Regions from separate parts of the Mus musculus genome. Here regions 2, 3, 4, 5 and 6 are each reported to be linked to region 1. The links are microRNA targets in miRTarBase. Many come from high-throughput screens and were not tested one by one. Region 1 holds a microRNA gene; each other region holds the end of a gene's coding sequence.

Region 1 (5,071 bases):
AGCTGTACAGAACCATCCCCGTTGCAGAGGAGGCAGCGGTCGGTCGGAGCTGCAGGTGTCGCCCAGGCTTTGTTCGCCCAGGGCCTGGCCTGATGCTGGAGAGGCAGCTGGCAGGAGCCCTTGCCTGCCCGGAGATGACCCCTCCCATCGAGTCCATAGAAGTGCCAGCAGCCGATGCCCCCCAGTTAGGGGGTCCCTGTTCGTGATGGAGGTTCTTCTTGGTGATGTTGCCATTTGGGTGAACCGGAGGCAGGGGCTCGGGAATCATGAAGGCATCCAGGAGGGTGGAAAAGTATTGGGAGTGAGGTGGGGGCGGGGAGGGGATTGTGCTTGATGCTTTTCCAATTTCAGAGATGGAGTTGAAATGTCTTCCTTCGGGTGTGACCCCCGGGGACTAGACAGGTTTGTTGGGGAACAGGAGCAAGCAATGGGAAAATGCCCCTGGAGCCTGGGCAGTGAGTAGTCCCCCAGAAAGCTGGGCCATTTGCTCCAGGCTGTCACGTCCTGGAGACTCTCAGCCTCTGGGGCTGGAAAACCCAGGAGCACAGAGGGCTGGTTTACTTCTAACCTACCAGTCAACAGAAAGGCCTGCTCTAGGAGCCAGCAGCTGGGGAGGGGAGTGTAGCCTGTGCCTCTCCCTTATCTGCGGTGCTGAGAGATTATACTCCGAATGCCCCTACACTCCCCCAAGCCGTGCCAGCTGGAGTGTTTTAGGGGCCGTGAGGGAAGTGGGCTTTCCACTCTGCATCTCCCCCGTGAGCACAGGAAGCTTCTAGAAGAATGGACCAGAGGCGGGGTAGCATGACTCTGCATTATCTTCAGAAGGTGGAGGGTTTCAAGGCATTGGGTCCCTGAAGTGTCAGGGGAGGTCAGGTCAGAGATGTCTGTGGGTAGCATCAGGATGCTGGACTCTGCTAAAGTCCTGGGGTGACTGTGGATGATGACCAAGAGGGATGCTGCCTCTGTGAGGGAGGAGCAGGAGCTGGAGCTGTCAGCAGGTGGCAGGAGGGTGTGACCCTGAAAGGTAGGAAGCCACAAGCTGCTGTCTGCTCTGGAGAATAGTGGGGGGCCGGGGGTGGGGTGCAAGCAGCCAGATTTGGGAGGAGGTAAATGAGCAGTTGCTGCCCATGGGTTTGCTGCAATGGGGTGCCATGCTAAGTGTCACAAGAAGCAGGGGTCTTGGAATTTGAGAGGCTTTGGGGTTGGGGACAAGGCTTAGAAAAGGGACTAAAGTGGGGAAAACCTGCCATTAACAAACAACCCCCTTCCCCAAATAAAACCTGTGAGTGCCAGGGGAGGGTAGTGCCCCCCAAAAACCCAGGAGGGAAAGATCTGGAAAAATGAAACCAACTCTGAGAGAGATGGGCGGGGTCAGTGGGGAACAATACTGCCGCTCCACTCCCACCCACCTTCAGGGCTGGCAAGGAGGAAGCTGCTGGTAGGGTAGAACGGAGAGACGTTCCTACGATGGGTATGTACTCCAGTGCTTTCCTGGAAGTGTAGAGAGCTTTGCAGAGCCTGCCTTAGCTGTTCTGATGTTGAGCACCTATGGTTCCAGTTGGGCTGGGTCTCAGCTCCTCTATCTTTGACCCTCAGCAAGCAGGTCTGCCAATGCATGGGCTTCTGGGCAGCCTGACCCAGCCTGCCCGGGGCCCTCAGGCCAGTGCCCAGGCTCTGGCTCCGTGTCTTCACTCCCGTGTTTGTCCGAGGAGGGAGGGAGGGACGGGGGCGGTGCTGGGGCAACTGGAACAGCGCAGGTCACCGGGCTGGCTGGGTGAGGTGGCCAGGCAGAGCCAGGGGGCTGCAGGGGAGGCCATTGGATGGGGTATGCTCATAGTAGCTGGCCAAAAGTCTCATGGGTCCCATTTATCCAGAACCTGCCGTGGAGTGGGGCGAGTTTCTGTTTCTGAGTGTGTGTCCTTAATTAACTTCTTCCTGTTTCAGCTTCGTTCTTCTGTCTATGTGGTGAGGGGTGGCAATTGGGACCACTAAGATGGAGAAGGATGTCAGAGGAGCAGAAACCATGGGAGGGGCCAGTAAGGCTGTGCCCACCTCTCTCTTGCCAGTGCTCTGTTGTGCAGCCTGGTCCTCAATATTTCCACCTAAAACCTTTGGCCTACACACACAGAGTGCCTCTGTCCCAGCTGAGCCCAGGATGGCCCCATCCTGATACCTGCAGCCTCCATCCCCATAGCTGTTTCCCCACTCACTGCTGAAGTCAGAGATGGGTCATCCTCTACAGTGCCCCCCATGATTCCTCCTCTAACAGAAAAACCCTTAAACCCCACCACTCAAAGAGAGAGATGTGGCATATCACCTCAGCCCAGCAGACCATGGCCCGGAGCAGAGCAAATAGAAGGCCCTGCTGGGCCCTGTACCTTGTTGTGCCTGTAGCCTGCTTGCGGGTGGATAATCTCTGCTTAGCCCTCCCTACTCTAGAAGGAAGGGAATCAATCAATGGATGCAGATCAAGTGGCAGGACCTAGGCTTGCAGCTCCCAGCTGTCTGGGCACCAACCCAGCCCTTTCTTGAGGTTGGGTGCTTAATAACATGTTGCTTCCCAGGACCTGCAGTCCCTGTGAAAGGCAGGTGCCCTGGGCAGGAGGAAGCAGTGTGGTAGGAGCAGAGGGTACCAGGTAGGGGAGTGGTGGGAGGGGCATTCCGTGTGCACCTCCCATCTCTGACTCCCTTTTCTCTTGACTCCCCCAAGCACCCTTGAATCAGAATACAATTCCTTCTGTTCTTCTACCAGCTGTCAGCCACTGCCCTGCTCTGTGGACCTTTGGGGACCCTGAAACCAGGTGGGACTCAGCCTGTGAGGCCAAAAGTCCCCAGGGTTCTGGGATGAAGCACAGCTCCCATGCCTTAGTAAGCAGGAGAAGGGCTAGGCCAGGCCCTCAACCTGAGACCTGGAAGAGCAGATCTGAAGGTTGCCCTACCTAGGGATGGAGGGGTGGCATCTGGGGATATATACCTTCCATGTCAGGTCAAAATCACAGAGGCTGTACACAGTTCCACTCTGCAATATGCACACACACACACACACACACACACACACACACACACACACCATCCAGCACACATAAATGCTTGTGCTTACTAAGTGCTAAAGACAAGGATGTGATCATGTAACAAGCTCTTAAGGGTGAATGCAACCTCAGAATCTCTCCTTAGTCAGAGATCTCCACTCCCAGTTGGCTTCAGGGGAGGGGGGTTCATAGAAATGGGGCCTAACACATAATGGCCTCATCCTGAGGTCACAGGTTCCTGCCCCCACATGCTTCTTGACAAGATGTCCACTCCCCTCTGGCTCAGTCCCCCACCTCTGATGGCAGCCTGCAGTATCACATCCTGGAGTTCTTCACATCCCACCTTTCCCATCAACCCGTCAGCAAGGATAAAGCCCAGGTACCAGCCCTGGCACCTACTCTGGGCTCTGGAAACTCTGCATTTCACTGGCTCCCCATAACATCAAAATCAGCATTCCTGCACGAGGGAAGCTTCTAGAATCCCTGCTGACCGCTCCCTCTTCTCAGACCTTTCACCTAAGGCTGGGCCACTGCCTCTGCCTTTTTGATCCACCCAGTCCCTTGTAGGGACTGTAGGGCTCTGTCTTTAGGCTCAGAGACAGCAGTGTGACCCTATGAGAAGGGAGTAGAACAGAGTGGGGTCAGGCATAGGCCCAGTCCTGAGTAGCTCAGCCCCCAACTGGGACAAAAGCCAGTCTCCAAGCCTCAGATTCCCTGTAAATTGGTGTCACTATAGCCTTAGCAGAAGGTTTCCTCTCCCATTGAGGTTTTCTTCTGATGCCAGGAGACTCTCAGGTGTGTGCTGTAAGGGCTCCATGGTAGACACTTTGAGGCCAATTGTAGGCCCAAAGCAACCCTCTGTCAGCAAGTGGCAGTTGATATTGTCCTGAATGGTACTGCTGCAGTGCCACCAAGGGCTGACAGGTCAGCTCACCAGCCCAGGATAGATGGCGGGGGAGGGAGTTTCAGCCAGAACACTATGGGGACTGGGAATGTGTCCAGCTAGTGGGAACCTCAGGCCAGGGTTGAGTGGCCTCTGTTTGGGACCCAGTGCCTGCGCAGAGCATGCTTTTCTTCACCCCAGAATGGTACCCAGGGCCCTTGCAGAATGCTGACACAGGCCCTGCAGAACATTCATGGGGCACTCCACTCTGCTGTCAGTCAGGTGGCCTCTGAGACTGGCCTGAGCTAAGAAGAGGCTGGATTTCTTCTTCCTCCCCCGGGCAGAGGCACCTGCCAGGCTCGAAAGCCTCTATCAGGTCCCCAACCTAAGTCGGGCAGCCTCTCCCTCTATGTGAGGGCTGAGCTGGCTCTCAGGGAGCCCTGCTAGGACTCTCATTGCATTCCTGAGATGCTGGACTATGTCACACAGTACTCGTAGTCTGAGGCTCAGCCCTCTGATAACTATGATAACCTGTGGTACCCCATCCCTGAATCTTAATCAGAGGCCCTGGGAGGTCAGAGACACTGGAGCCCAGCTTTGCCCTACAATGTGCCCCCTCTCCCCATCTCTGCCTTCACAAAGGGCTCCTAACCTGAGCTGAGCCCCATCTTGGGCAGAGCATCCTGGACCACTGTTCCCCCTCACGACACCCTTTGCCGTCCCACAGGTGAGCACCTGCGGATCTGCCCCCAGGGCTACACTTGCTGTACTAGTGAGATGGAGGAGAATTTGGCCAACCACAGCCGAATGGAGCTGGAGAGCGCACTCCATGACAGCAGCCGCGCCCTGCAGGCCACACTGGCCACCCAGCTGCATGGCATCGATGGTAAGTGGGCACTTGTGAGTGTGGGGGAGGAGCCAGAGGCTAGGATTTGGATGGCTAACTCCATAGGAGGGTCTCCCTCTTCCTGCCAGGCTTGAATAGAACAATGAACCCAAGTTATTGTCAGGGCCCTAGGGAGAATGGGCCTGCTCCTCAGAGGGGAACAGCTGGGCTTGAGGTGCTTCTGTGTCCCAAGCAGAGTTCCCCTCCAGACCTACAGAGGGCTGACCTGTATCACCTGCATCTTCTGGGGTCCCCGTGGTAGGCCCACTATCC
Region 2 (5,071 bases), not on the chromosome of region 1:
GTCTCCATGGGGCATGCTTCCCTTTGGACTAAAGCTAAAGAGACATCAATACAGAGCAACTAAGTTTCTTTACAACGAAGGAAATGGAGAAGTTTCTTTTTAAATGCAGGGTCTGATTTCCTGTGCTCCATGTGATATGGTGTGATTGAGAAGGTTTTTTTCCTGTGAATGGAACATCCCTTTGACCCATCCATTTCACAGAGATTAGAAAATCTAATTTGAGGGGAATTTACTATTATGGATGACAAAACCTTAAGCTGGCAGTAACCTACATCTTGGATTGAATTTCTTTTGTGGGTAAGTATACAGAAATGTTTGATGGAAAAGAGATTGGAAATCTTCTTTGTGTATCCTATTCTGTTAGTGGGAAGCAGAACTACATTCTAAACCTGCATTTGGGCTGAGTACCGCTTCAATATAATGTGACATTTGAACAGTCACTCTTTGTACCTAGATCATTTGTATCGCTGTTCCAAAATATTGTCTTTCTCTTTTTACAAGCAGCCTGTGTCCGTAAAGTTAAATATGGCTTACATCGGCAGAGTACCTCTCCTCAAAAGACTGAAAACTATTTTTCTTTTCCTTTGTTCCCTCTGTGTGACTATGTGGTCTGAACCCTCCCTGAGGGAATGAGCCTCATCACAAATCCGTGGCTCATTTCTAATCCCTAAGTCTCTGATACCTGACAGGACAGTTCGCATCTCAAAAGGAAAAATTAGAAAAATGAGCATTTTCCAGCTCTTTAAAAGACTTGTATCCTTTAGCTTTAAAGTCCTCACAGTGCTAACATAGTGTGTTTTATAGAACGGACTAAAAGAAACAACAATCAGGCCAAGCTCCAGTTCTCAGAAAACCCAGTGGCAAGGCAGCGGGACCTTTCGGGAGACACTGCTCACAGCAGTGCCTCTGGGGGTTCAGCAGAAGCCGCAGGAGCCAGGTGTGCAGAACCCAGAGTAATAGACACAGGGGCCAAGTCAGACCATTTGATCCCCCAGCAGGCTAAGCGGAGACAAGCATTCCTCCTCTGCAGAGGGGCTGACAGACCTGAAATTCAAACTCAGATTCCGGCTGTACCACTTGGGGCTTTGAGCCAGGCATTTCATTACACCCATAGTTCACAATCATCCCGATTAGCCTATGGGGTGGTAGGACGCAGGGAAGGGGGTTTGGAACATACAGTTAGCAAACTTCAAAGAGCTATGCAAATATAAGGCATGGGTTCACACTGAAAATATGACTCCAAACCTGACCTCTTTCTTGGCCTGTTGGAATCCTGCAACTGTTCGCTCCAGCATCTTTCTGGGACTCTGAATTTAACCTCAGATTAAAGCGATAGGGAAAGCTAAGAACTCTTATAAATGACAGACATCTTGCAAACAACAGAAAAACGTGCGACATATGTGTGTTAGCAACTTCTCAACTAGTGAGGGTCCTCTGCCAGGCTCTCATCTGGGTCTTCAGATCAGAAAGAAAGAGTCCTCCTTCAGCCCTGCCTCCCCAAAAGTCCCCAGAGAAGCCTCATCCTTAACCAGTGCCATGGGTTCTAAAAGATTCGTGCTCAAAGATCCACCACCAGTGTCCTGAGATGGGTGCTCTGGTACATTCCAGAGGCACAGTCAAGAGTCTCCCCTGGGCTCACACTACCTATAGTCCATTTCCCAGCCATTAACTAGGAGAGATCTATAGTTCCCAAATCTCTTGAACCAGAGAAGAGACTTGAGGCCAAGGGATAGCTCCTCATGGTTTCTCTTCACTGAGGGTCTCTAGAAGTGTCGCTCTCTCTGTCCTCACCCAGAAGTGTCACTCACTCTCCTGCTCACCTCGTCTGTCCTCACCCTACTCTTAGGATCACAGCTGAGGCTGGGTACCCACAGAAGCACCCCTACGCTGTGACTAAACTTAGCCCAGAGTGAAGAAGTATTAATTTACAGAACTGGGGAACAGAGAGTGGTTGGTTTGTGCCCAGGAGGTCAGGACACGGCTGAGACTGACTTGGGAACATTCAGCAGGCTGGTTCCACCAAAGCAGAAATGTCTGCTCTGACTTTCTTGAAGTTGCCTGGAAAATTAACCCTATGACTTGCTCAAGCAATCTCACGAACCAACTTTGCCTTTAGATCTGAATGTTCCTAAAGGAGTTTACATTCAAAGGTCAGTTAAATACCTATGAGTGGAAAGCCAACGTAAAACATTTAAATATAGCAATCAGCCCTCATAAAAAGTGTTTGGGGCTTCCACTTGGGGGAGGATGGAGGTCTGTAAAGTGGAGTTGCTAATAAAAGACATGAGTGGATATTTTCTCCCAGGCTAAGGTTGTTCCAATGCTAATTTGCCTCCCCCCAATGCTTCCTTTCACTGTGAACCCCAAAACATTGCCCTCTGAACAGCTACTAGCCACAGGAGGAAATGGAATCAGTCCTGATAGGCATTAGCATCTCCAACTGCATGGATCCATGGAGGGCCCTGCAGGGCCTCTCAGCTCATCCCCAGGCTTCGTCTCGCCACTTGATGAGTCTGCTTCTCTCTCTCTGCTTCTCTCTGCTTCTCTCTGCTTCTTTCTGCTTCTCTCTGCCTCTCTCTGCTTCTCTCTGCTTCTCTTTTTGCTGCTTCTTTACTTTTCCCTCCTAAGGCAAGGACTGGTTTTCATTTCAGTGTACAAAAAAAGTCTTGGTGAAGTACAGGGAAATAATAAACAATTCTTTCTATTCACCTTATAGATATAGATCAGGTGGCTATTTCTATTTGAGTTTGCCGAGCCACCTGGGATGTTATGATATGAATATATACGTCAACAATTTTCAAAGGGCACGTGAGACACACATAGGTCCTCAGTGAATTAAGGTTATGATTTAGAAGTTGTCATTATGATTAATATATTGTTTTTCCTTGAGATCTCTTTAATGACAAACTTTAATTTTTATTAGTATATAATTAGGAATCATATTGTTTATATTTTATTTGGCTCAATAGTTTGTGAGATGTGTTTCTTTGGGTCTACAACTCATGGCAACTAAATATCATAAAGCTTAACCTTTGTGAATAGAAGAGCTAACCTAAGGAGCTAGTTAAGAAAATGATGTGTAACAGGCATTGAAATGTAAGATCTCTGGAGCTGAGGGTGGGGTTGTAATGGAAAGAAAGCATTCAGAAAATTAGTAATTATTAATACATGCTCCCGTGGTTTTCTCTCGAGATTTCCTGAGCATTCTTTATATATCATAGTGCAATACAATACCAGTAAGTCACTACTATACCTATTTTTCTCAAGCAAAAATGATATGCTTCTAGACATATATATATATATATATATACACACACACATATATATGTATAGTCTATATATCAACACATAATAGTACACTTTCTTTTAGAACACTATAATTTGCATTTCTATAAATATATTTAAATAAGAAACATAGATCACTGTTCAGATCTCACACCATTTGACACATAAACATACAAAAATAAAATGATCCCATTTTGCTGGTCCGGGTACTTCTCCAAGTTAAGAACAACTCAGAAATAACCTTGAGAATTTGGATCCCAGGAAAACTGGACACGAATTCATGCTGGCTCTAGGCACCACAGGCAGGGGTAAACTTAATATAACATTCCTTACAGTGGGTATTAATATCCTACCACTGTTCAGAGAAGCTGGGGGTGGGGGGGAACGACATCTCCAAAGGTCATGTGATAGTTTGTCTCCTAGACATTGTGAGGAAGAGGCATATTAATCACATCCCCTGCCCTACGTAAAGCATGAACTTATGAAGCTGACCTCTGAGTAGAACAGGAAAAATGCCTCCTCCTTGGGCTATCCATTCTCTGCCCCCACCATGCTCTACTCTGCAAATAAGTGCTCAGCAAATAGAACATCAACATTAAGAAGAGCCTTGTGTTCCACAAATGCCAACATGCGTCCAGTTCCAGTAGCTAATAAGGAAGAAATTCCTCCACTCACAACGTTTTGCAGAACTTGGCTGCCCACCAAAGGGAGTTCTTCATGCTTCTTTTGCAAAACAAAATAACATGAATTATTATCCCTGGTAAAATTGAGCCTTTTGTCTATGGCAGGTTGTAATTCTCTTGAAAACAAAAAGAGGGGTTTCACCCATTTCACATCCCACCTAAAGCCTATTATTCCAGCCAGCTCCCAGTAGAAGCACAGACGATATGCCTGCTCAGATGAACTCCATCACTTCATTCTAGTATTGAGGAAGGCAACATCTGGGCGCCAGGACTCCCACTGCATCAAAACTGGCTTCACCTCAGTTGCATCCTTGCGGGGAATGGATGATGTCTCAGGAACTGGGTTTGGGATTTCCTTGTAAGCAGAATGAATGCCCTTGGCAGCATCCTGTAGAATGGTATAGTAACAGGAATGGGGGTGGGATCTGGGCATCTGCTCAAAGAGAATTTTCCACACAATCAGAAGACGTGGGATTCATGACTTCCTGAGGGGTGACTTCAGGGTCCTGAGGTGCCTGCTGCTGATAGATGTCCTGGATCAGCAGGGTGTTCATGACCTTCCACTCTCTGTACTTCCTGGCTGTCAGCTTTGGATCATCCAGCAGCTGGTTGATCATAGCCAAATCGTGTTCTTTGCACTGGCCGGGAAGAAAACAGGAAGGAAAGTGACATCCATGATTATGTGAGGACCTGAACTTCTATGAGTCAACTTCTTCAGCCCTTTCACAGACATGGGGACCCATGGGCTGCAACACTACCAATGTGGTTTAGTGCATTAATAGTCTAATCTTGCAACACGCCTGAGGTCAGCCTGTGGGAGCCATAAGAAGCTGTATATATTCACCCCCAAGTTTCCAGACAGTCTGTCTTCTATGCTGCTCCCCTTCATTCTTTTATTGCCTCACAGCACAGAGGGGACTCCATCTTAGTCTATCACTGGGTGCTGGCTATCTCCTGAGGCTCAGTTAATATGGTACACAGATGATACTCATTGACCATCTGAACCTCGAAGTAAAATTTGAACATAACACTTTACCTGAGGCATAGGGTAACAAAAATTTATCTTTTTAACTTTTGTAGATTTTTAAATTATTTTACCAAGC
Region 3 (5,071 bases), not on the chromosome of region 1:
TCTAAAACGGGAGTAGGAGACAGGAAAGGGTGAGGTCTCGAACACCAACCACCAGGATACCACTTACTCCACTGTTTGAAAGCTACCGTCACATACCCAGTGCATTAAAGGTTTTATGCCCCTTTGTCCAGCCGTGGAGTTTAAGGGACCTCAATACCCACTTGCCAAGTCCCTTTGAAGAAACTGAGGCTGAGAGGGAAGGGATGTCAGCCAGTGGGGGAGTGGGGAGGCTTGGAACAGGGCCAGGCCTGACACACTGCTTTCTTTCTCTTTCTCCCCCTCTCCTCGTCCTCCTTTCTCCCCCTCTCCCTCGTCCTCCTCTTGCCCTCTCTCCACAGTTTACTTCAGCACTTAAATCCCTGAGGAGTCTGCCCTGCCTAAGAAGGGCCTCTCCCCCACCCCCAGCCGTTCCTCCACCTCTCAGCCATATCTTTCAGCCCCCTCCCTTGGATCCGTGTGTGTGTGTGTGTCCGTGTGTGTGCCCCCTGTAAATAGCCAGCTGTTATTTATACATATATAATATTATATATATTTGGTCTGTTTGTAGTTTTATTACTAGAAGATTTTTTCCGGTTGTCCTTAACACCCCTTCCTGAGGTTCCCATCACCTCTCTCTCACCCTCTGTCCCTTTTCCTCTTTCCTGATCAGCCCCAAGTCCCTTCATTTGCATCTGCTATGCAATAGCCCCTCTCCTCCTTCCCTTGGATTTAACCGATCTTTCCCTTATCTTCCCTGTACAATCCCAGGCCCTCCCAAAACAAAAGCAAACCCCACAGAAACAAACAGAACACCCCACCTGTCTAGGCTTCCCTAGGCTGCATCTTTGTATCCCTTGGGAGGCTCTGAGACTGGTTCCACTTGGTCCTAAGAATCCCAAGATTTTCTGGGAGCTTCCAACATGTTGATTAGCATATCATTTGCATACGCTGTCTGTTTCATTTTGTTTTGTTTGTTAGTTTTTTGTTTCCTTTCTGATCCATCACTCTTCACTCTTCTGTGTTTTTTCTTTCTTTCTTTTCGGAAGAGTCAGTCTCCATTGGTCCTCTTACCACACTTTTATTAGCACGACATTATCTGCAGGTGGTGGGGAGTCTGGACTTTTGGGGAACCAGGCTGCTCTGGACCCCAAGGTTTCCTCCTCCCAACCCCTCTAGTCTAGTTTGCTTCCCTTACCCCGTTTCCCACACCTCTTGTACCCTCCTCTCCCTCCCCCAGCTGGTGTGTAAGTGTCTTGGAGTTCAGTGTGTTATGATGGACCAATAATTCTGCCACTCGGGGTCTCTCCCTACATTCCTGCTCCCCAGTTTTCATGTGGGGCACTCAACTGACATTCCCAGGGGGTCTCGCTCCCTCCCATCTGCCTGATCTGCTGCCTCCTCCCATCAGGAGAACTGGGGGCCGACCACAATCTGGTTCTTTGAGGAGGGGTGGCTCCAGTGTGTGGGGGTCATCACTGCCTTGGGGAGGAGTGGGACAAAACAGAATCCCCCTAATTCCTGCCTGAAGTCTCTGGCCTCATCCTTGCTAGAGGTTCGACTGAAAACTTTCCTCCCCAGTCTGGGGGGGGGGTATTACCCCCATCACTGCCCAGCTCCTCTGACTGCCCCCCTGTATTCAGGGTGGGGGTACTAGTCACTGCCAATATGTGTTGGGACTTGCTGGAGGATGGGGATCCTCGTCCTTCTCCAGGGCTGTTGAGCCCAGAGAGAGAGAGTGTGAGAGAGAAAGCAAGCTATTTCCTTGTTGAGTACAATGATAGAGGAAGGATCTAATCTTTTTAAATGGCACAGTTTTAGGGATCTGAGGGTACAGCCCCTTAACCTGCCTTGGGGGGGGTTGTTCCCCAAACTCTTGCCCCCCACACACCAGGTTTTCTGTGTGGAGGGGAACCAAGGAGATCTAAACTGTGGTGTGAAAGGGTAGGAGAGATGCTGGGGGTGGGGGTGCTTGTGTTTTAGACCCCCAATATTATCCCAGTGTCCCCTGCCTTCCTTCTTCCCCTGCCCCATGCCCCCAATTCTGTGGCGCATCCAGATTGTGAAAATGTACAATAAACGTGTAATGAGTAACCATATGGTGTCCAAAATCTTTTTCTTAATCAGTAATAAGAATATTGGATTTTCAGATATGGAGTGGTTGAAAGATTCTTTGGTAAGAGCTGGCTGGCCTGTTGCAGGAGGCCCTGACCTTGGGCCCTGGCAAAGTGTAATTCCCGAAGTGGCCACAGGGGGCACCAGCAGACGAGAATCAGAAGTATCACTAAAGAAAGTACCTGATGTCTAAGAGGCAGGTGAACTCTGCAGTCTGGGATTACCAGCTTCCCACTACCGGCCTAGAGTGAGCTGCTACCACAGAACTCCTTTATCTCCTAAATGTCACTGCTAGCTATTCCTTAGGTTCTCTCATAGCCCTGTACTCCTGGACCACTTCTGTGGGGGCATGTCTTCCCCTGTCCATTTCAGTGCCGTACATCCAGATGGGCCGATGAATGCTTGAAAGGATCAGCCTGATGAGGCAAAGCTGACTGTGGCATAAAGCTAGCTATAGATGGCACACTACCCTTGCACTGCGTTGTGTAACTCTTACTCCCGAACTCTTGAACTGGAAGCATCACTACCCCTTTGTACTTCAGCAACATCACTGAGATATAGCTATATAGGAAGTAGGTAGCATTTCTGGTTGCCCTCTGTATTCAGGGCACGAGGGACTAATCACTGCTAGTGAGTGTGGTACTTGCTGGATCACAGTGATCTTTGACTTTCCAGGGCAGTTGAATAGAGATCGGGGTGGGAGGATTGGCTAAGAACCACTAGAGGGCCAGGTGTGGTACAGGCCTTTAATCCAAGCATAAAGGAGGTGGGGACAGGCTGATCTCTTGACTGTGAGTCTAGCCTGGTCTACATAATGAGGCCCTGTCTAAAAAAAAAAAAAAAAAAAATTAAAAAAAAAGAAAACAAAATTTTTTGAGACAGAATTTTATTATGTAACACTGGCTGTCCTGGAACTCACTGTGTAGATTAGGCCTGGAATACACACTTGACTGCCTGTTGAGGCTGGGATTAAACATGTGCATCATCATTAGCTAGCCAAGAAATAAGGACTATTAGAGAGCTGGGGGCGAGGGGCGGGGGATGGTGCATACTTTTAAGCCCAGTATTTGGGCGGTAGTGGCATATGGATCTCTGTGAGGTTAAGGCCAGCCTGGTATACAAAGAGTCCAGAACAGCCAGGACTATGTTACACAAAGGAATCCTGTCTTGAGAAAAAAAAAATTAGAACTATTTTTTTTTTTTTTTTTTTTTTTGGTTTCTCTGTGCAGTCCTGGCTGTCTTGGAACTCACTCTGTAGACTAGGTTGGCCTCGAACTCAGAAATCTGCCTGCCTCTGCCTTCCAAGTGCTGGGATTAAAGTCGTGCACCACCATGCCCAGCTTAGAAGTACTTTTAAAAATAGATTTTCAGGGGCTGGAGAGATGGCTCAGCAGCTAAGAGCACTGACTGCTCTTCCAAAGGTGCTGAATTCAATTCCCAGCAATCACATGTTGACTCACAACCATCTAGAAATGGATCCGATGCCCTCTTCTGGTGTGTCTGAAGACAGCTACAATGTACTCATACAAATCTTAAAAACAAACAAACAAAAATTAGATTTTCAAAGTTGGGCAGAGCCAGGTGGATTGGCAATCTCCAGGTTTGGGGGCAGCCAGGTCTACAGAGTGAGTTCTAGAACAGCCAGAGCAACACAGAGAAACCCTGTCTGGGCCGGGCAGTGGGGGCACACGCCTTTAATCCCAGCAGAGGCAGGTGGATTTCTGAGTTCGAGGCCAGCCTAGTCTACAGAGTGAGTTCCAGGACAGCCAGGGCTACACAGAGAAGCCCTGTCTCGAAGAAAAAAGAAAAAAAGAAGAAAGAAACCTGTCTGGAATACACCCCCCGCCCCGCAAAAGGGTGTCATTGGAAATTATTTCAGAGGTTCTAAAGTACTGAGGTGTCTTACAGCCTATCCTAAATTCTACCTTTATGGAGAGTTTAAATAAGGCTTTTTGCATTTAATTCTTGGAATTACTTCTAGGTTTAATGTCTCCATAGGCCTTACAATACCAAGCTACCTTTATGGTGTCAGAGACCTGGGTTCAGACTTTAGCTCTTTTATCAATATACATAATCTAATTCCGACAGATTACGTAACCTCTCAGCCTCTTTTGTGAGGTTATGGGTAGTGAGCCGGCCTTCTTGGGAGTCTGCAAGAAGGGGCTGGCCAGCCAGGCCCAAAGAAAATAAATAGGAGGCGACTGTCATTTCACCGTCATTGTCATGCAATCTAATGATATCTTCAGTGTAGTGCTCAGATTTTTAAGCTTTGGGGATCACTAGAGACACAAAGCTCAGGCACCAGAAACCTCTTGTAATGCCAGAGTCTCCAAAGTATGCCCACTACGCCATAGCCTGTCAGATCTACGCCTGCGTACAAGTCGCTCGGCACGCCTGCGCAGACTCCGCAGTATTGGGTAAGTGTCGTCAAGGAAAATCCCCAGCTTCTGGGTAAACAAGTTGCCGCGTGAGCCAGCCTGCACGTGTTCCCTACAGCTCTGAGCCCTCTCAGCCTATGAGAAAGTTTTTAGGGCAGGGCTGGCATTTGCGTCACTGATTTAGGCAGGGCGGGGTTGTCTCTGCAGCCAGTAAAAATGTTGAGAGTGGGTGGGGGTGTGGCTTCCGGTCAGATGTCCAATCAACGAGTTGGGGCGCCCCCGCCCTCACGTGGCTCTATCACTACCGGTTGTCATATTGTCCAATGGGAAAATGACTGAGTTCTGAAATGCCAATGGTTGCTTTACAAGGGCTTGCCGGCTGCACGCGGAGCGGGGCATGGGTTGGCGTCTCTGAGCCAATAAGCTAGGGAGGCGTGACAGAACGGGCGGTGGGAGGGCCTCGAGGACTCTGTGGAGGAGCCCCAGGAGTGAAGAAATTTGGAGTCTACGTGCGCTCGGAACTGTGAGTAGCCCCTTACTCTGGAGCCGTCGAACTTGTGTTTTTGGGGAGGTGCGCTCGACCAAAAGGGGTGTCAGTGGCG
Region 4 (5,071 bases), not on the chromosome of region 1:
TCAGAGTATGTCCTGCAGGTCACACTGCCATCTGCTACCAAGCATGTGGCTTTGCAGGTCTCTGCCCTCAGTGCTGGGACCAGCTCATGCTCTGTAGACTGCTGAGCCATGTCCCTGGCTCACGCCACCCAGTGCCAGTGTCTACCCCACCACAGTACACAGAACACCCTAGATATTGTGATGTTCGCCCTGCAGAACAATCCCTGGGGTGAGCTGCCCCCTCCACTTCTGCTTCTCATACTGGTGGGAAGTAAATGGCCCGGTGTCTGCTTCCCTGGAGCCAAGGTTGAGCCATGTCATTTGTCCCCACCCAACAGTGACAGGAGAGTCACCACCGAGCCTCTCTAAGGAACTGAGCAGCACACTGGCAGGAGTCAGTGATGTCAGCTTTGATTCAGACCATCAGTTTCCACTGGACGAGCTGAAGATTGACCCTCTGACCCTGGACGGACTCCATATGTTGAATGACCCAGACATGGTTTTAGCCGACCCAGCCACCGAGGACACCTTCCGAATGGACCGCCTGTGAGTGGCTGTGCCCACCAGCCGCCGCTGGTCAGTCTCCAACGGCGCTGCCCCAAACCTGGGGACGGCAATGGCGTCCCCCTTTGCCAACGGCCAAGCTTGTGGTTCTGAGCTTGCAATGCTGCCCAGTGCCCCTGCCAGCCCCCCGCCACCCCGGTCGTTCACCTCCCATGATGCCTGGCGTGTGTGAGGCCGCTGTGTACTAGGCTGGCTATCTGTCTGTCCATCCATCTACCTGGGGTCAGGCTGATGGCCGAGGCTGTGAGTGCCTGGCCCCCATGGATGTTCCCCGTGCTCGCTCCCTCACCCCTCACTGGGGATGTGAGAGCCCTCATCAGATACCCAAAGTGTCACTCACTTCCAGATGTGCTGTGCAAGGAGGGCCGGGGCGTGGGTGTGGAGCGCCCAGAGGCTTAGGTGCGCCATCCATTCGACTGTTGTCAGCTGTCACTGCCTTCCTCCATCCTGCCCCCCTCCCCACCGCCATCCCCAGCCCTGGTCAGGTCATGCATGCCCACCGAGCCCAGGGCAAAGACAGCAGAGTGACGGGGCCGACCTGGACCAGAATAAACACTGTTTGGATGGCTGCCTTTTATATTCCTGAGCGCTCTTGCAGCGTGACAATCGACCTATGGCCGAATGTGGTATGGACAGAGCCACTGAAGCAGCCAGTGCCCCTCCTTGGCTCATTCTCACCATCCTTGCCCCCTGTTGGACAAAGGTCAGTATGGTGGCACTGGGATGGAGGGTCACGGGCCACCTGCACATTCTCCTCACTCTTCCAGCCTCGTGACCTGTCCCTCCTGCTGTTTAGGATCTGGGGCTCGGGAGGCAGCAGCCCTGGTGGTTCTGCTTTTCCTTCCGTTTCTGTTGGCATTTGGTAGCTGACCCCCCCCCCCCAGACTTGCCTGGCAGCATGTGTTAACTATCCCCCAGTCCCTCCTTTACCTTTTTAAAAGTTAACTGGAATACTAGCCTGGAGCACTTGCAAGCTGGGGCACCTGGGCTGCTCACCCTGGACCTGGGCGTACTGGCATTTAGTCTCAACTCCAGAGAGCTGGGTGGGCAAGGATGGGGCTGGATGCAGGGTCCTGGTGGCTGGGCGTGTCTGTAGAACCGCAGAACATATCCTGGGAACAGCCTTTACTTTCACTGGAGCCTCCTGAGAACCCTCTCTCTCTGAGGATCTTTAAGGCGTCTGCCAGGCCTTAGCAGTGGCTAAGTGGGGGCTGTGGACCGGGGTCACCTTTGGCCTGGAAGTTCTGATCCCCACCACCCTAGGTCATAGCTTGACATGCCCTCTGCCTCTGCTCCGTAGGCCCGGGCCGCGGCTTCACTGTTTCTCTGTGCCGTTGCCCACTGCCCATGCTGGGGGTTTGGGGAGCACACAAGCTGTGTGTGTCTCTCCCCAAGCACCTAGGCAGCCGCCTGCATGAGAAAGCTGCCACCCTTTCATTGCTATTCCCCTTCCCCTGGGTCTGAAGACACAGCATTGCTTTGTCCAAGTCACCTGTCCAGGTCTCAGGCCTTTCTGTCACCACGGTGCGGACTTGAAGGGAATAGTGGGAACTTTATCATCACCATCACCATCATCATCAAACGTATGTGGTGGCACGCGTCTGTCACCCCAGCACTGGCGAGCTGGAAAGCACACAGAAGTGGGGTGGGACTCTCTTCCAGCTGTAGAAGTCTGAGCAAACGGCCTCAACAGGGCCGAGAGGCTGACAGGGTACCTGGAGTCCAGTTACTCACTGGCTGTCTGAGTTCTCAGTGAGCCAGGGCAGGACAGATACAGCCCATGGCCCTCCTAAGCTGGTGGCCTGGCTTTCAGTGCCCTGAAGCCAAGAGTGCATGTAGCTGTATTAATGTGACCAGTTCATTGCCAAGTCCTATGATGAGGTGACACGTCCCTGCCTCAGCGCCCCAGGCAGCTGTGAGCATCTCATGAGCTCTCTGGCCCAGCCAGGAGCCAGCACTCGGGTGCATGCATGTTCCCAAAGGGGTCACCCTCCCCTCCCCTGGGCCTAGCTGCTGTCAGGGGGACTCCTGGGAGGTGTCTTTGTTTTCTAGATATAGGTCACCTGTCCGATAATACCCCTGTATTGCCAAGACATCCCAAGATGATAGCTCAAGGCCGTGGGGGCCTCAGCTGGTGACATGCAGATACTGTGACCCATTGAACTGTGCTGGGAGCAGCCACCTTGCAATGTGTACATAGACCCTCTGCCCACATTCATGCTCTCTCAGGACAGGCTTAGACACCTGGCCCTTGAGAGGTCAGATGCGTGAGCCAGGCCTGGTTTTTTCCCCTCCACCTTACCCATGTGTCACCAGCTTCAGCCAAGCCCCTCCTCAGCCATGTGGCTGTCCAGCCCACTTCCCTGACTCAGAAACAGGACTGGGGCATCTTGATAACTCTATGCCCAGCTGCCTCAGTTAACCTTGGCAATCTACCCAAAGCCCCACAGAACAACAATGCAGCTGGACCCAGCCCCTTTCTATATCCTAAGAAATGGCTTGTCCCCTTGACCCAAGGCCCTGTCATATCCCCTTCCTGCAACACTATCCAGTGTGGCTCTGGGAAGTCCACTGGTACTTAGCCTAGCCTTCAACTCTTTGGAAGACTCTTACACAGGGGGGCCCCCTAGTGAAACCCATGTGCTACTGCACAGCACCCAAGGATGGCTGACAGCTATCACACTGGGCTTGATGTCAAGAGTCCTGGCACTCCGGTCAGGACAAGAACGGGCAAAAGGCATGGGGACAGCAAACCTGCACCAGTGTCAGCTGCCGTTCTTCTCACAGTGGGCCTGGGGTTTTTTATTTTGCAGAGATTTAGCACAGGTTGAGAGGGCTGCTGGTATCAGGGTCTTGATGCAGCTGTGTGCACAGGCATGGGGTTGTAGAGTTGTGCCCTAGGTCTGGCTGCTGTCCCTCAGAGCTGTCCAGGTGAGGACACCGTGGCGCAGTCTACCCCATGTGGTCTGCCTCTGGTGTGGTGGTACCTGGTCCTTTTTATACCCCTTCCACCTTGGCTCCCAGGGGGCCTCTTCCTTCAGGGATCTGGTGGGTGATTTGGCGACCCTGATCATTTCTGTCTCAGGCATGGCCCTCAGTGTGGCACAAATGCCTGCCACCCATTGGTCATAGCCACATCTCCCTGTCAGGGCAGAAGATGGAGGGACTTGTATCCTCTCGAGCCTGGGTGCTGGGGTACTCCCAAGGCCATGGGGTGCCCTGAACCTCAGTTTTCCTCTTTCTCAACCCTGCTGGGCTCAGGGGCCCAACCTCCTGGTCAGGGTAGGGATAGCAGCAGAACCCCCACAATGGGACCAGCAGTCCCTTCTGCACTCAGCCTTTCCTTGGGGCTAGGGATCCATCACATGGGGTAAGGCCTAGCCTAATCCAACCCAGCACTTCTGGTCACAGGGGGACATGAGGACAGGGCTGTGGCCATAACTCCAGAGGCCAGGCTCCTGTTTCTCAGGCCCCATCTCACCCCTTAGTTGGAAAAAGGACGCCATGGGCTGGGGTGCCCCTTTGATATATGCAAATGGCTGGTTCCACATTCCCCTCCCCGTGCCCAGGCTGGCTCTGCCCCCGGCATGCGCACTCCGCTGCGGATGTCTGTGGATCGTGCGCATGGGCACCGCAGTTGGGGGTCAGGTTGCTCAGGGCACGCACGGCCGCCCGCCCCACCTTCTGGCGCAGACGCTTCTTTGTATTTTTGCGCCCTTTGTAATGAAATGTAATAAAAACCCAATGTTTTCGTCTGGGCCTCTTCCTCTTTTTCCAATCTCCCTCCAGGTTACCTCATCTTCCTGTGGCTGAGCCCCACATAGGTGTGAGCCCCTTGAACACCTTCCACTGAGCCATTCAGTGACTGGGGTTCCTCAAACTTGGAGGCAGCCATCTGCTCTTACCTTAGAATATTCCAGGGCTGTCACCACCTGTAGTGAATTGCATGCCCCTGACAGTCTCAGTGACTAGAGTACAGACCCTAGGGCCTCCTGGAGGCCCCTCCACAAAGTGCCCCTTTAGCAGCGACCAAAGCCAGCCAGTCCCCCACATACGTACTTTATTTGCCTCTCCTCCCCAGGCCAGACACCCCTTCAGAGGGATGCCAGACCCCCCCACACACACACCCGTAGCTTGTGCCACCACAGTCCATCAGGCAGCGGGACCCCACTGGTCCCTAGACTCTCTGCAGCCGGTGACTCTCGTAGTCCTCAGGGATTGTATCTGCAGATTGGAAGGCAACAGGTGAGAGAGGTTTCTGGAGCCTTTTGGGTCCAGCCTGCTGGCCCCTCGCTCACCATTGCAACGGTAGCGCAGGTTAGCCCAGATGATGTTCTCTTGGGAGAAGCAGAAGACACCCAGGCGGCCACCACGCATGGCCGTGTCCAACACCACATTGCTGTCAGCTACTAGCTCAGGACCCTCATAGAACCGCACCCTGTGATAAAGGACTATTGAGGTTGGGTTCCCTGCTTGCCACCCCCTTCATCTTTAGTTCCCACTCAAAATAAGGGCTGGTGTTGGGGCC
Region 5 (5,071 bases), not on the chromosome of region 1:
ACACCTTGGGACAGTGTGACTGTGCTCACGGTGATGCTCTGTGTCTTTGTTCTTAGTGAGTTGATTGGAATTTTTTTTTTTAATATGTATGAGTGTTTTGCCTACTTATATGTGTATATAGTACCCAAGCCAGAAGAGGGCATCAGACCCCCAGAAATAAGAGTTACAGATGGTTGTGAACCTCTATGTGGGTGCTGAGAATTGAACTCATATTGGTCCTATGGAAGAGCAGCCAGTGCTCTTACTGCTGAGCCACCTCTCCAGCCCTAAATTGATAAGATTTCTACCATGAACACTGTCCAGTGAAGAAGGCAGACTTCCTCTCTGTTCTCCCCGTGTGGCTCTGACTAAACTCTAGATCCCTATAGCTTAGACAAGGCATGATGGTAAATACACCCAAAACAATATGGAATCTGTTACTTGGGAATCAGGCATGAGCTGGACATGGCTCAATAGAAGAACACTTGGCAGGCATTTGTAAGGCCCAGATCCCGTAACAAGAGCACTTTATGCAGAAGCCACATGGAACGGCTTCGTGCAGATCTTAGCAGGTTCATATGGCTAGTCTTACTGGCAAGCAGGTTTGCACCAGTGGTACAGCTCATTGTTACCCCTTTGTTTCTTCTGTAGAAATTAAAGAGACAGATGGGAGTTCACAGATCAAGCAGGAGCCAGACCCCACGTGGTAGACCGTGGCTCTCCAGGGTAAGAGCCTCGCTCTAGCTGCCCTTCATCCATGCCCACTTATAAGCTGATGTGCAGACACATCCCTTCTGCTCTGGCTGTGAGATGAGGCCACCCTCAGGGGACATAAGGCCCAAAGGTTTTTCTCACTCAAAGATGTAGCCAAGATGAGTGAGGTGGCAGAGATAGGTGGGTCTCTTGTAAGTTCCAGGCCAGCCAGGCTCCGTGGTGAGACCCTGTCTGTCTTGGGGTGGGGTAGGGTAATACAGAGGTAGTATTCCTTAAAGGGACATGTTTGTTTTGAGTCTGTATGCCAAGGTTGCCTCCTCTCTGGCTGACCTCTTTAGGCCGGTCACAAGCCCAGCCCCATCAGTTGCTGACTTGCCACCAAGAGGTGGGCTGCAGTGACCCGCAAGTGAGGAGACTGCAGTCTGCTGTGATGGGCTTTGCCTGGCAGCCTTGGTGATGTGCCTGACCGTGTCAGATCACAGGCTTAGGCCTTGCCGTCTTTCACAAGTGCACTTGGGCCTGCATGTCTGTCAGATGGAACAGGGTGTGTGACAGGAGGTTGTCATGCCCCTGCCATCTGACTCACCCACTGCCTGCGTGTTTGTTCTCTCTGCAGTTCGTCCAGTGTCCAGCGTGCGTGGTGGAGAAGAGCTTTGGGACCCGTTCCTGCCAGCTCTGTAATATACTTGTATAACAGAAATACCTTCTATACAAACCTTCTTTTCTACTTTTAGATAGAAATGTCTACTTTCTCAGCAGTTCTGTGAATTGAGCTACACAGCGTGATGAGATGCGCGTGCCTGGTGGCTTGGGAACGCACTAGAAGGGTCTTGCAGCAGTGCTGAAAGAGGCGGGAATGGCAGGGACGACTCGTAGGGTTTCTTATGCATCGGGCAGAGCCTTGGGCTGTGGTGCGTGTTCCCGTCAGTGAGATATTCCTACAGGGCATCTTGGCTTCCGCAGCAAAGGAAGTCCCTGTGCTAGTCAGTGCTTTAGTTTTTCTATTGAAGACCAGTTCCGTGGTCTTGCACTCGGCTGCCCCTCCTGCCAGGGGAGGGCTGCTGTCTGTGTGTGTGACTAAGCCTCTTCCCAAGCTCCATCACGATTCCTTTGTCCTCACTGCCATTCAGAGCAAAGCCGGCCAGCTCGCCTGACCGCCAGTGAGCAGCCAGTGCATCCGTGCAGTGCAGCTGGAGAGGCTAGCCTCAGAGCCTCGCTCCGGTTACTTTACAGCAAGTAGATTTCTGGGTGTGTCCTAAAGGTCAGAGGTCAGGTCTGCATGCTTGAGCAGGTGGAGGATTTGCCCCTCCCCAACTGGGACCCACAGTGGCCTCAGGGGCTCTGGGCCGCAGCTCTGGGTCTGGGTCGAGTCAGGCTGGGCTGTGTGTCTGCCTGGTTGGTTAGTCTCTAACCACCTGTCTGGCCTCTGCGCCAGGGTGGGGAGTGAGGACATTGGTGTCCCGCCCTATGTGGGGGCTCACAGACGATGATAAGGTAACAGCTCTCAGCAGTTAGGCACGTGAGGGCACGGTTCTCGGTAGTCACCACAATGTTCACAATGGGAAATTATATCACACGGTAGCAGAGATAGGCATTTTATGTGTTCCTTATATTTTACCTCAAATTGTAGATATAGGGTAATAAATAAAATCCATCCATGCCTTTCACATGCAAACTCATTCTTTTCCTGCTGTCTTCGTGAGCGCCTGGGGAGGCGGGACGGGTGTGGGCTGGTAGGATGTTCACCTCAGTCCCTCACAGATGGGACACCCGTATTCCTGGTGTTTCTCAAGAAGTCACTGGTTTGTGGAGCTGGAGCTGTGCCCAGCCCCCACCGGCCTACATCTTACGTGCGTTGGAGACAGAGGAGAACTCTGAGGACACAGCCACAGCACAGGGGAGTCCCTGAGTCCCTGCTGGAGGATGTGGAAGATGATGCCCGCCCAGGCTGCGGCCAGGGATCCCCTGGTAACATGATGCACAGGAGAGTCAGTCATCGGGCAGAAGCCTCCTCGGCTGAGATCCGTCAGGCAGTACTCAGTGACAGGGCACAGAGGAGAAGGGGCAGCTCACCCGCTGCTCATGGGGCAGCCAGGAAGCAGAGGGAGAAACAAGGGGCACGCCCTGTCAGCATCCAACTTCTGGCATCTTCCAGTGATGCCAAGGCCAAGGTCAAACTCTCATCCTGTGAACCTTTGGAGACATCCCCACACCATGGCACGGGATAGAACTGCCCTGGGTCAGACATGGCTGTGTACAGGTGGGTGACATGACAGCCGCCTGTACTAGGTAGGCTGGTAGGTGACAGCTGAGTGGAAAGGGTCATGGCCACCAGTAAAGCGTCCATAGCTGGGATGTGACTCAGTCACTAGGCTGCTCGTCTAGATGCACGGAAACCTGAGTTCTATGCAGTTACCCTGTCATCTACCCAAGTGCTCTGACACCTTGTAGGTGGCCCTCACCTGCCCCGCCCACACTTGTTTCTTGTGGTTTGGTTTTGAGGAAGGCCTGGTGCAGAAAGCTTGGCTGACACAATACCGATTGGTAAGGTGTTTCCTGTCATAGAGGGAACAAAAAGCCTTGTATTTATTACCTTCAACTTGGCCGTGTCCAGGCAGCTCCTAGTGAGAGAGGGGCAGGGACCCACTTGTAGAAGCTTCAGTGTCTCCAGCCAGGAGATTTACTATGTAGTGCCAGCCAACTGAAACTGCACCTAAATATTGTGGCTAATCTCTCCAGGTGACAGAGCTTCATAGAGGCTAGCAGATAGAGCCAAGCATTGGTTAGTAGGCCTGTGGTCCCAGTACTCAAGAGAGTGTAGGCAGGAAACTAAGGCCCAGCTGTTGCCTGCGAAACAACAAAAATAATTCAACCGGTATATGCTCAAAAGGTCAAGTTGAAAGCCAGCTCATGCCTGTTAGGAGACAGTGACACGAAAATCAGGAGTTCAAGGTCATCTTTGGCTACATGGTGAATCCAAGGCTAGTCTGGGTTGCAGGAGACTCTCAGAAAACCAGTGATGGGAGAGATGCTTGAGCTGAGTAGAGTGGTAGAGGAGGCCTGTAATGCCAGCCCTCTGAGAGCAGGGACAAAGGTCAATGGCCCACACTCAGAACCAACCGCAGGATGATGGAACCTTGATCCTTCAATAGCAGCTTCTGTCCTGGGGTGTGTGTGTAGGACAACAGTCTCCTGGGTTTGTGTGTACACTGTGGTATGACCCAGGTCCTGATCCACACCCTCCCCAGTCATGTTGTGTAGACCACCAGCCCTTGGGGTCTCAGCTGCCGTCCCCGGCCATCTGCAGTCTCCTGGCCTCCAATGAGAATACTGACTTCTTTTGTCCTCTGGGGTAAGCATGCCCCTGGAGTTAGCGTTGACGGCCGATAAGCTGTGAGCAGCTGTCTACTGTTCTGTCTGGAAGAGTGACCACAGGAGATGGAGAGACTTGAGGAGCAGGCGAGCAGGCTTAGGTTGGTGGAGGAAGCCTCAGCCAGCCTAATAGAACTTACACTCTGCAGCCTCAGCCATTGCTTCCGGTTTGTTTTTTAATGTGTATGAGAGTTATGCCTATGTAGACGTCTGCATGTATGTGCCAGGTGCCCACCAAAGCCAGTTCCATCAAGCTCCACCAAGGTAGAACTGGAACTTTAAATGGTTGTGAGCTGAGCTGCCATGTAGGTGCTGGGAATTGAACCCAGGTCCTTTGGAAGAGCAGCCAGTACTCTTACCCATGGAGCCATCTCTCCAGCCCTTTCTACCCACGTCTTCACCTCACCAGTCTCATTTCCTGCTGGGGATGGGGGCCAGGCCAGCACACCTACCCCACGTCATTAGTTTAAGACTCAGGGCTGAGTTCTGTGCCTAGGACCCACGCGGTGGCGAGAACGGACTCCCACACGTTGTCCTCTGACCTCCACACTGTGGCTTGTGTGCCTTGCTCCCCTTTCCCCAGTCAGTGTGGAAAGAGAGAAGATCTGTTGGGTGGGGATACAACTCAGTTGTCAGAATGCTTGCAGAGCATAAACAGAGCCCTGGGCTCCGGCATCACAAACCAGGCCTTTCAAATGTTACCATCCTAGAGTACGTGACTAGCAGGGAGAGAGCAGATCTTGTCACAGGAGCTCATGGGGTGACAGGAAAGCAGGGTCCCAACACTTTTACAGGGGAGGGTGCCTGTCTAGTATGCACAAAGCCCTGGATCTGCCCACAAACCAAGCGATCTTGGCTTTAAGCCAGCCTGGGAATGGAATCCAGACTCACACACACACACACACACACACACACACACACACAGTCTATCCTTAGATCTGTTAACAACCCGATTCCCGTTGAGTATTAACCCTTTCCACCACTTGCCCAATTCCAGTCAGCTGTC
Region 6 (5,071 bases), not on the chromosome of region 1:
TGTAGCCAAGAATGACCTTGAACCCTCACACCCTCTTGCTTCTCCACTGCTGGGCCTGTTTTCTGCGGTGCTGTGGAGGGAACCCAGGGCTTCCAGCAGCCTAGGCCAGCCTTCTTTGGACCCACCCACAGCCCAGACCTAACATTCAGTTTTTAGTGTTGGGTCACGGCTTGGCGGATGTTACTGCATGAGCGTCCTTCGTCTTGTTTCGGTGGTACAGAGGTAAGACAATCTGTTCCCAGAGCTGCCCTGCGGCCACCCACACCCGTGGCTTCTCGGTGTGCAGCAGGTCAGGTCGGCCAGTCTGCCCTGCCCCAGATCTAACCAGCAAGACCCCGGGCTGCAGCATCTTCCAGACCACCTCTGCTTTCTCCTCGGAGTCCACACGGGTTTTGTGACCACTGGTCTGTCCAAGAGATGGTTGTTTTGGACATTCTAAGATAACTTACTGCCTAGTTTTATGGTAGAGTGATGGGCACAGGAGCTATTACTGTGGGGAAGAAAATACAGCAAACCATCACTTTAGTGTTTTGGGGCATAGGACTCAACACTCCAACTGTCGTAGGCTCAACCCTTGCTGCATTTATGTGGGGACGCCATTGCTGTCTTCCCAGAATGCCTAACTCTCCAAGTCTTTGGTTTCCAGTTTTTAAATTTTCATTTATTTGCATGTGCCTGTGTATATGCCATGCATGCGCATGGAGGACCGAGGAGAGCCTGAGGTCCCCACGGTGGAACACTGGTCCTTAGGCTTGGCGGTGAGCACCCTACCCGCTGAGCCACCCTGCCAAAGCCCTCCCTTTGCAAGCAGAACTGAGCCCAGTTGGTTTGCTTCGTGATGTTGATGAGAATAACTCTCCTGGTACTTGAGAGCTGCAGGTGCCCCAAGGTTTAGGTTTGGTCAGAATTCTCCAGGGATCTGGCATCAAAGAAAACATAGGGCTGGTGGTAATGGTGGCATACACCTGTAATACCAGCACTTGGGAGGCAGAGGCAGGATATTGAGTTTCAAGCCAGCCCAGCCTGAGGAGTGAGTTCTAGGATAGCCTGGGCTACATGCCAAAACCCTGTCAACGAAAACATGGTGTCATTCACGGTGAACGCACGTTAGCAATCTGGACTAGTTAGGGCATGCCACTCCAGGGTGGTCATATCTGAATAGTTCAGACAGAACTTTGGGTTAGATGCAATTAAGCCTTGCGTGTTCTTAGGCTGTCTCTCATTTCCAACAAAATGTGACCTTGGAGCCAAGACAGGCTTGTTTTGACCAACCTTAAGTCTTTCCTCGGGTGGCAAGTTCAGCAGGATGCGCCAGATGGGGTGTCCGGCCATATCCCAGCCTTACTGCTTGGGGCAAAAGCCCTGCAGAGTTCACATGCCAGACAACGAGGCATGCTTGGGAGTCTCTTGCTTTCTACATGATCAGACCCCCAGATGTGCCTGCCCTTCCCTTTGAGGAGGTTCTGACCTTGCACCCCGGCAAGACCGTGATGACCTTCCTCCTCCCAGACCTGTGCCCGGCTGTCCCGGGCTCTGTTGCCTTGCAGACCCCAGAAACAAGAGAGCCAAGATGAGGTCACTCTAGCCTCCCCAGGTCCACACCTGCTTACTGTCTTGAATTCCAGAGTCACCTGCTTGGAGAAATCTATTTTACTATTAAGTAATACAATGATACCGAGAGCCAGGCTGTGAGGCGGGGTTTTGGCATGTAGCCCAGGCTATCCTAGAACTCACTCTGCAGCACATGTCTGATGTGCTGATCTGCACAGCAGGCCTTCGAGAGGCACAGGGTGACTGCTGGCCATCCACTCAGCCGCTTGGCCTCCCCTTGCCTTTAGGCACGGGCAGCTTCTCCTCTCAATCTCTATTCTTCCTTGGGGCCTCCCAAGAAGAAAAGGACACTCTTCTTAAACAGTTCACATTTATTATTGTAACAATAAAAAAATCTTTTAAAGACTATCAGTATTGTATTACCAAGAGTGAGGTAATATGTTTACAAAACATTTACAGAATCTGATATGCAAAGAATGGATTCAGGAAGGAGAATGGGTTAAGACACTAGAAACAGGGAGAGCCCAGAGTGGAGGGAGCAGCATTTTAGGAGGTGCTGGGCACTGGGAGGAGCAGCCCCGTGTGCGAGCCACACGGTCACCTCGTAGCCAGCCTCCCCTTACAGGGCAGCCAGTGCCCTGTGGCTCGGGGAAGCTGAGGGCCTGTGAGTGTGCAGTTGTGTGCTTTGAGCTCTTAAAGATGCTCTCAGCTCTGGGGGGTTCAACAGTGCCTCTTCGGCATGGACTTAAGGGGAACAGCTCTTCAGCCTGGGACATGGCTGCGACTCAGATAGGTCTACAAACATCTCTGGGCACATGTGGGCTGTCGAGTGAAGCGCTTTCTTGGAGGATGTCAGCAAAATCGCCATCTGGGACATGGAGAAAGGGAGAGGGGAAGGGAGAGAGAAGAGAGAAAGAGCAGGGGCATCTTCAGGTCCTTTCACTCGGAGCTGGGAAGCCCTGACTGGAAGCAGCATGGACGCGGTAGCTACAGCCCTGCTGTGCTGTGTACAAGCGCTCCCACAGACAGGAAAGGCATGGCAGTGGGCCAGAAAGGCCACCAAACAGAGGCTCAAGCACGGCTCAGGGTGCCAGGAGCCAGGGGGCTCATCGGCCAAGCCAGGCTGCTGTGTCGGCTCTCCTCATGCTTGCTGACATGCCACAGCCTCTCCATAGCTCTCACCGCACAGCCAGCCACCCAGAGCCTCAGAGCAGCGTCTACACAGGCATCCACTCCCGCCATACACTCTCATGGCCACTCGGATTTGGCACACATCTTTAGACACTGTTACCACACACACACAAGTAGATCCTGGGCCCCCCTCCTCTGGAGATCAGCCACCTGCAACTTCTAGACAGTTCGCTAAGAAGCATGCTTTCCCCATAAAAGCCGTAAAGCAAGGATCTGCTCCAACAGCAGGCTCTGGGGAGTCAAGATCAGGGGAAAAAAAAGAAAGAAGAAAAAAGGCAAACTAGCCCCAGCCTCTGACCTGCTTCTATGAAACGCAGAAGAACAAGTGCAGATCTGCAGCCCCTCCCCAGCTACACCCCACTCCCTCATGCACACACACAACACCTACACACATACCCAGCATCCACCCACATGCCGAAGGCCACTGCAAGCCATGCACCCCCCTGGAGAGCATTGCTAGAGTTTGCACTGCCACACTTCTAAAGGCAAGTGTGACCTACTGCTTCCAAACACCCTGCTGAGAGCTGAGGACCCTGGGTGCTAGGACTGAGGATCCTGGGTGCTAGGAAGACTGAGGACTCTGGGTGCTGCTGGGAGGACTGAGTACCCTGGGTGCTAAGGGCTGAGAACCCTGGGTTTTGGGAGGACTGAGTACCCTGGGTGCTAAGGGCTGAGAACCCTGGGTTTTGGGAGGACTGAGGACCCTGGGTTCTGAGAGGACTGAGGACCCTGGGTGCTACGGGCACAGAGCCGCCTCCTGCAGAAGGAAAGGCAGCACTCAGCAGAGGGAAAGAATCCTCCCCATCCCCTCCACCAAGTTCACGGACAGAAAAATTTTGCTCTGAAAAATATCAAAAGATTTGAAGAGGAGGAAAGAGAAAGCAATGTTTAATGATGGCGGTGTTGTCAGGATTCACGAGGAGCCCTGGCAGCCCCTCCTGGGCTGCAGTGTCTGCTCGGGATCAGGCTGGCTCTGACCCAGCACTGGGTGCTCCTCAGGCTGCCAAGTCCTTAGCGGAAAGGGACCTCAAGAGCTGTTCTGGATCCACAGGCCACCTCCACTAACAGGGAGCCGAGAGGACTCCGCTGCAGCTTAAGGGCTGCCTGCTGCAGCTTCGGTTCCGTGGAGGAGGAGGTGGCGAGTCTCTGCAGGGTGTCACACAAGTCATTCACTAGTGGACAAGGTGGAGTTTGTTGGTAACATTTTTTGCATCGACAACTGAGACCAGTCAGTCTCTTACTGTAGATAAACTACTTTTCTTTCGAGAGCCCTTGTGCTCTGGTTTGATTTTGTGCACGCTGTATACAAAATCTATGGCTATTGAGTTAAAGTTAGGGGTAGAGTTAAAACTACCTCTCAGGATGGTCTGGGGACCAGGTGACTAGTGACCATCTGCAGATCTAGCTGCTATCTAGAGGGAGGAGTCTGCACATCCAGGGGTGGGCGGAGTCTGCACATCCTGGGGTGGGCGGAGCACAGCAGCCGGGGCGCCCGCCCTCCGCGCAGGCGCAGGCTTCGCGGCACTACCTGGAAATCATGGAGCTGGATTGCGACTGGCTGGAGGAGGTGGTGGCGGCACTGAGCTGTGAGAACCCGCTGTGGCTAGATTCCAGGCTGGTCATGGAGCCTCTGCAGATGTAATCAACAAAGAACCAGGAGTGAGGAGCTGCTCTGAGCCGCCCCAAGCGAGCATCTCTATCTGCTCCCCCCCCCCCCCCCTCCGTCGGCCCTTGTAAAGTTGGGACAGGACATGAGAATCAATGGAGGAATCCGTAGTTTGCCCCTCGGGTGACACTGCACTTAGCAAGTGCTACACTCCCTTTCCTATGGAGAGCTGCAGGCAGTGAACAAGTAGTCCCTGCTGCCAGAGCCTCCCTCTCAGGCACAAACCTGAAATCTTCAGAGCCGATCACTTCTGTGTAGTACATGACTTTGCACTTGTGGGAGGAGACCTGCAGGGAGGCCAGCACGTCGTCCACTCGGGGTAGGTTGGTGGCAGCACATGCTGGCATGGTGTGGAATTTCCACTGTAGGATGTAGAAGCCTGGCCACCTGGTCACATGGGACCCCTGCAACAGTGAACAGCAGCAACTCAGGACATTCCACCAAGGGGAGGGGTGTCCTGAGCCAACAGCCTAATGATGGATGCCCTTCCACCCACTGAGGCAGCCTATGCGATGGTCTGTCAGGTGTTAGGAAGGCAGCATGCACCTTGTCTACCACCCTCAGCAACCTGCAACCTCTAGAGAGTACCAGGCTGAAAGTGCCTGGCCAGGTGGGAGCTGTCAGAAGGGCCTGTCTCTCTGACAGAGACAGCTAGGTCAGGGA

What was found. The annotated mature microRNA mmu-miR-149-5p reads UCUGGCUCCGUGUCUUCACUCCC and lies in region 1 at 1,674-1,696, shown strand. An mRNA with a match to its seed (bases 2 to 7 or 8) in the 3' UTR can be bound and repressed. Matches are read on the target gene's strand: a 7mer-m8 pairs with bases 2 to 8, a 7mer-A1 pairs with bases 2 to 7 and ends in A, and an 8mer does both.
Region 2: miRTarBase lists Ipcef1 as a target of mmu-miR-149-5p. Seed matches in the 3' UTR shown: 7mer-m8 at 3,569-3,575.
Region 3: miRTarBase lists Vamp2 as a target of mmu-miR-149-5p. The part of its 3' UTR that is shown has no 7-base or 8-base seed match.
Region 4: the mRNA of Crtc1 is a reported target of mmu-miR-149-5p. Seed matches in the 3' UTR shown: 7mer-m8 at 2,298-2,304, 7mer-m8 at 2,492-2,498 and 7mer-m8 at 2,813-2,819.
Region 5: miRTarBase lists Gtf2i as a target of mmu-miR-149-5p. The part of its 3' UTR that is shown has no 7-base or 8-base seed match.
Region 6: miRTarBase lists Sec14l1 as a target of mmu-miR-149-5p. Seed matches in the 3' UTR shown: 7mer-m8 at 3,710-3,716.

What each region holds. Positions count from the first base shown.
Region 1 is chr1:92,848,708-92,853,778 of GRCm38, forward strand. Mir149 (microRNA 149) reads left to right here and starts at 1,671; the gene lies at 1,671-1,736. It overlaps Gpc1 (glypican 1), which reads left to right. Exons shown (of 9, transcript NM_016696.5): 2 at 4,640-4,798. Gm29480 (predicted gene 29480) reads right to left here and starts at 90. Exons shown (of 4, transcript NR_166170.1): 1 at 1-90.
Region 2 is chr10:6,886,070-6,891,140 of GRCm38, forward strand. Ipcef1 (interaction protein for cytohesin exchange factors 1) reads right to left here. Exons shown (of 9, transcript NM_001170800.1): 9 at 296-4,606. The coding sequence ends at 4,406. It also overlaps a transcript of Oprm1 not described here. Among named protein-coding and RNA genes, the nearest start is that of Ipcef1, 92 kb to the right of the region's middle.
Region 3 is chr11:69,090,312-69,095,382 of GRCm38, forward strand. It overlaps Vamp2 (vesicle-associated membrane protein 2), which reads left to right. Exons shown (of 5, transcript NM_009497.3): 5 at 339-2,070. The coding sequence ends at 355. It also overlaps a transcript of Per1 not described here. Among named protein-coding and RNA genes, the nearest start is that of Vamp2, 4.3 kb to the left of the region's middle.
Region 4 is chr8:70,381,582-70,386,652 of GRCm38, reverse strand. Crtc1 (CREB regulated transcription coactivator 1) reads left to right here. Exons shown (of 14, transcript NM_001004062.2): 14 at 318-4,295. The coding sequence ends at 529. It overlaps Comp (cartilage oligomeric matrix protein), which reads right to left. Exons shown (of 19, transcript NM_016685.2): 18 at 4,842-4,981; 19 at 4,587-4,767. The coding sequence ends at 4,721. Among named protein-coding and RNA genes, the nearest start is that of Gm51533, 9.3 kb to the right of the region's middle.
Region 5 is chr5:134,235,131-134,240,201 of GRCm38, reverse strand. It overlaps Gtf2i (general transcription factor II I), which reads left to right. Exons shown (of 34, transcript NM_010365.4): 33 at 631-705; 34 at 1,310-2,370. The coding sequence ends at 689. Among named protein-coding and RNA genes, the nearest start is that of Ncf1, 8.0 kb to the right of the region's middle.
Region 6 is chr11:117,156,102-117,161,172 of GRCm38, reverse strand. Sec14l1 (SEC14-like lipid binding 1) reads right to left here. Exons shown (of 16, transcript NM_001166506.2): 15 at 4,634-4,812; 16 at 1,905-4,372. The coding sequence ends at 4,267. Among named protein-coding and RNA genes, the nearest start is that of Sec14l1, 43 kb to the right of the region's middle.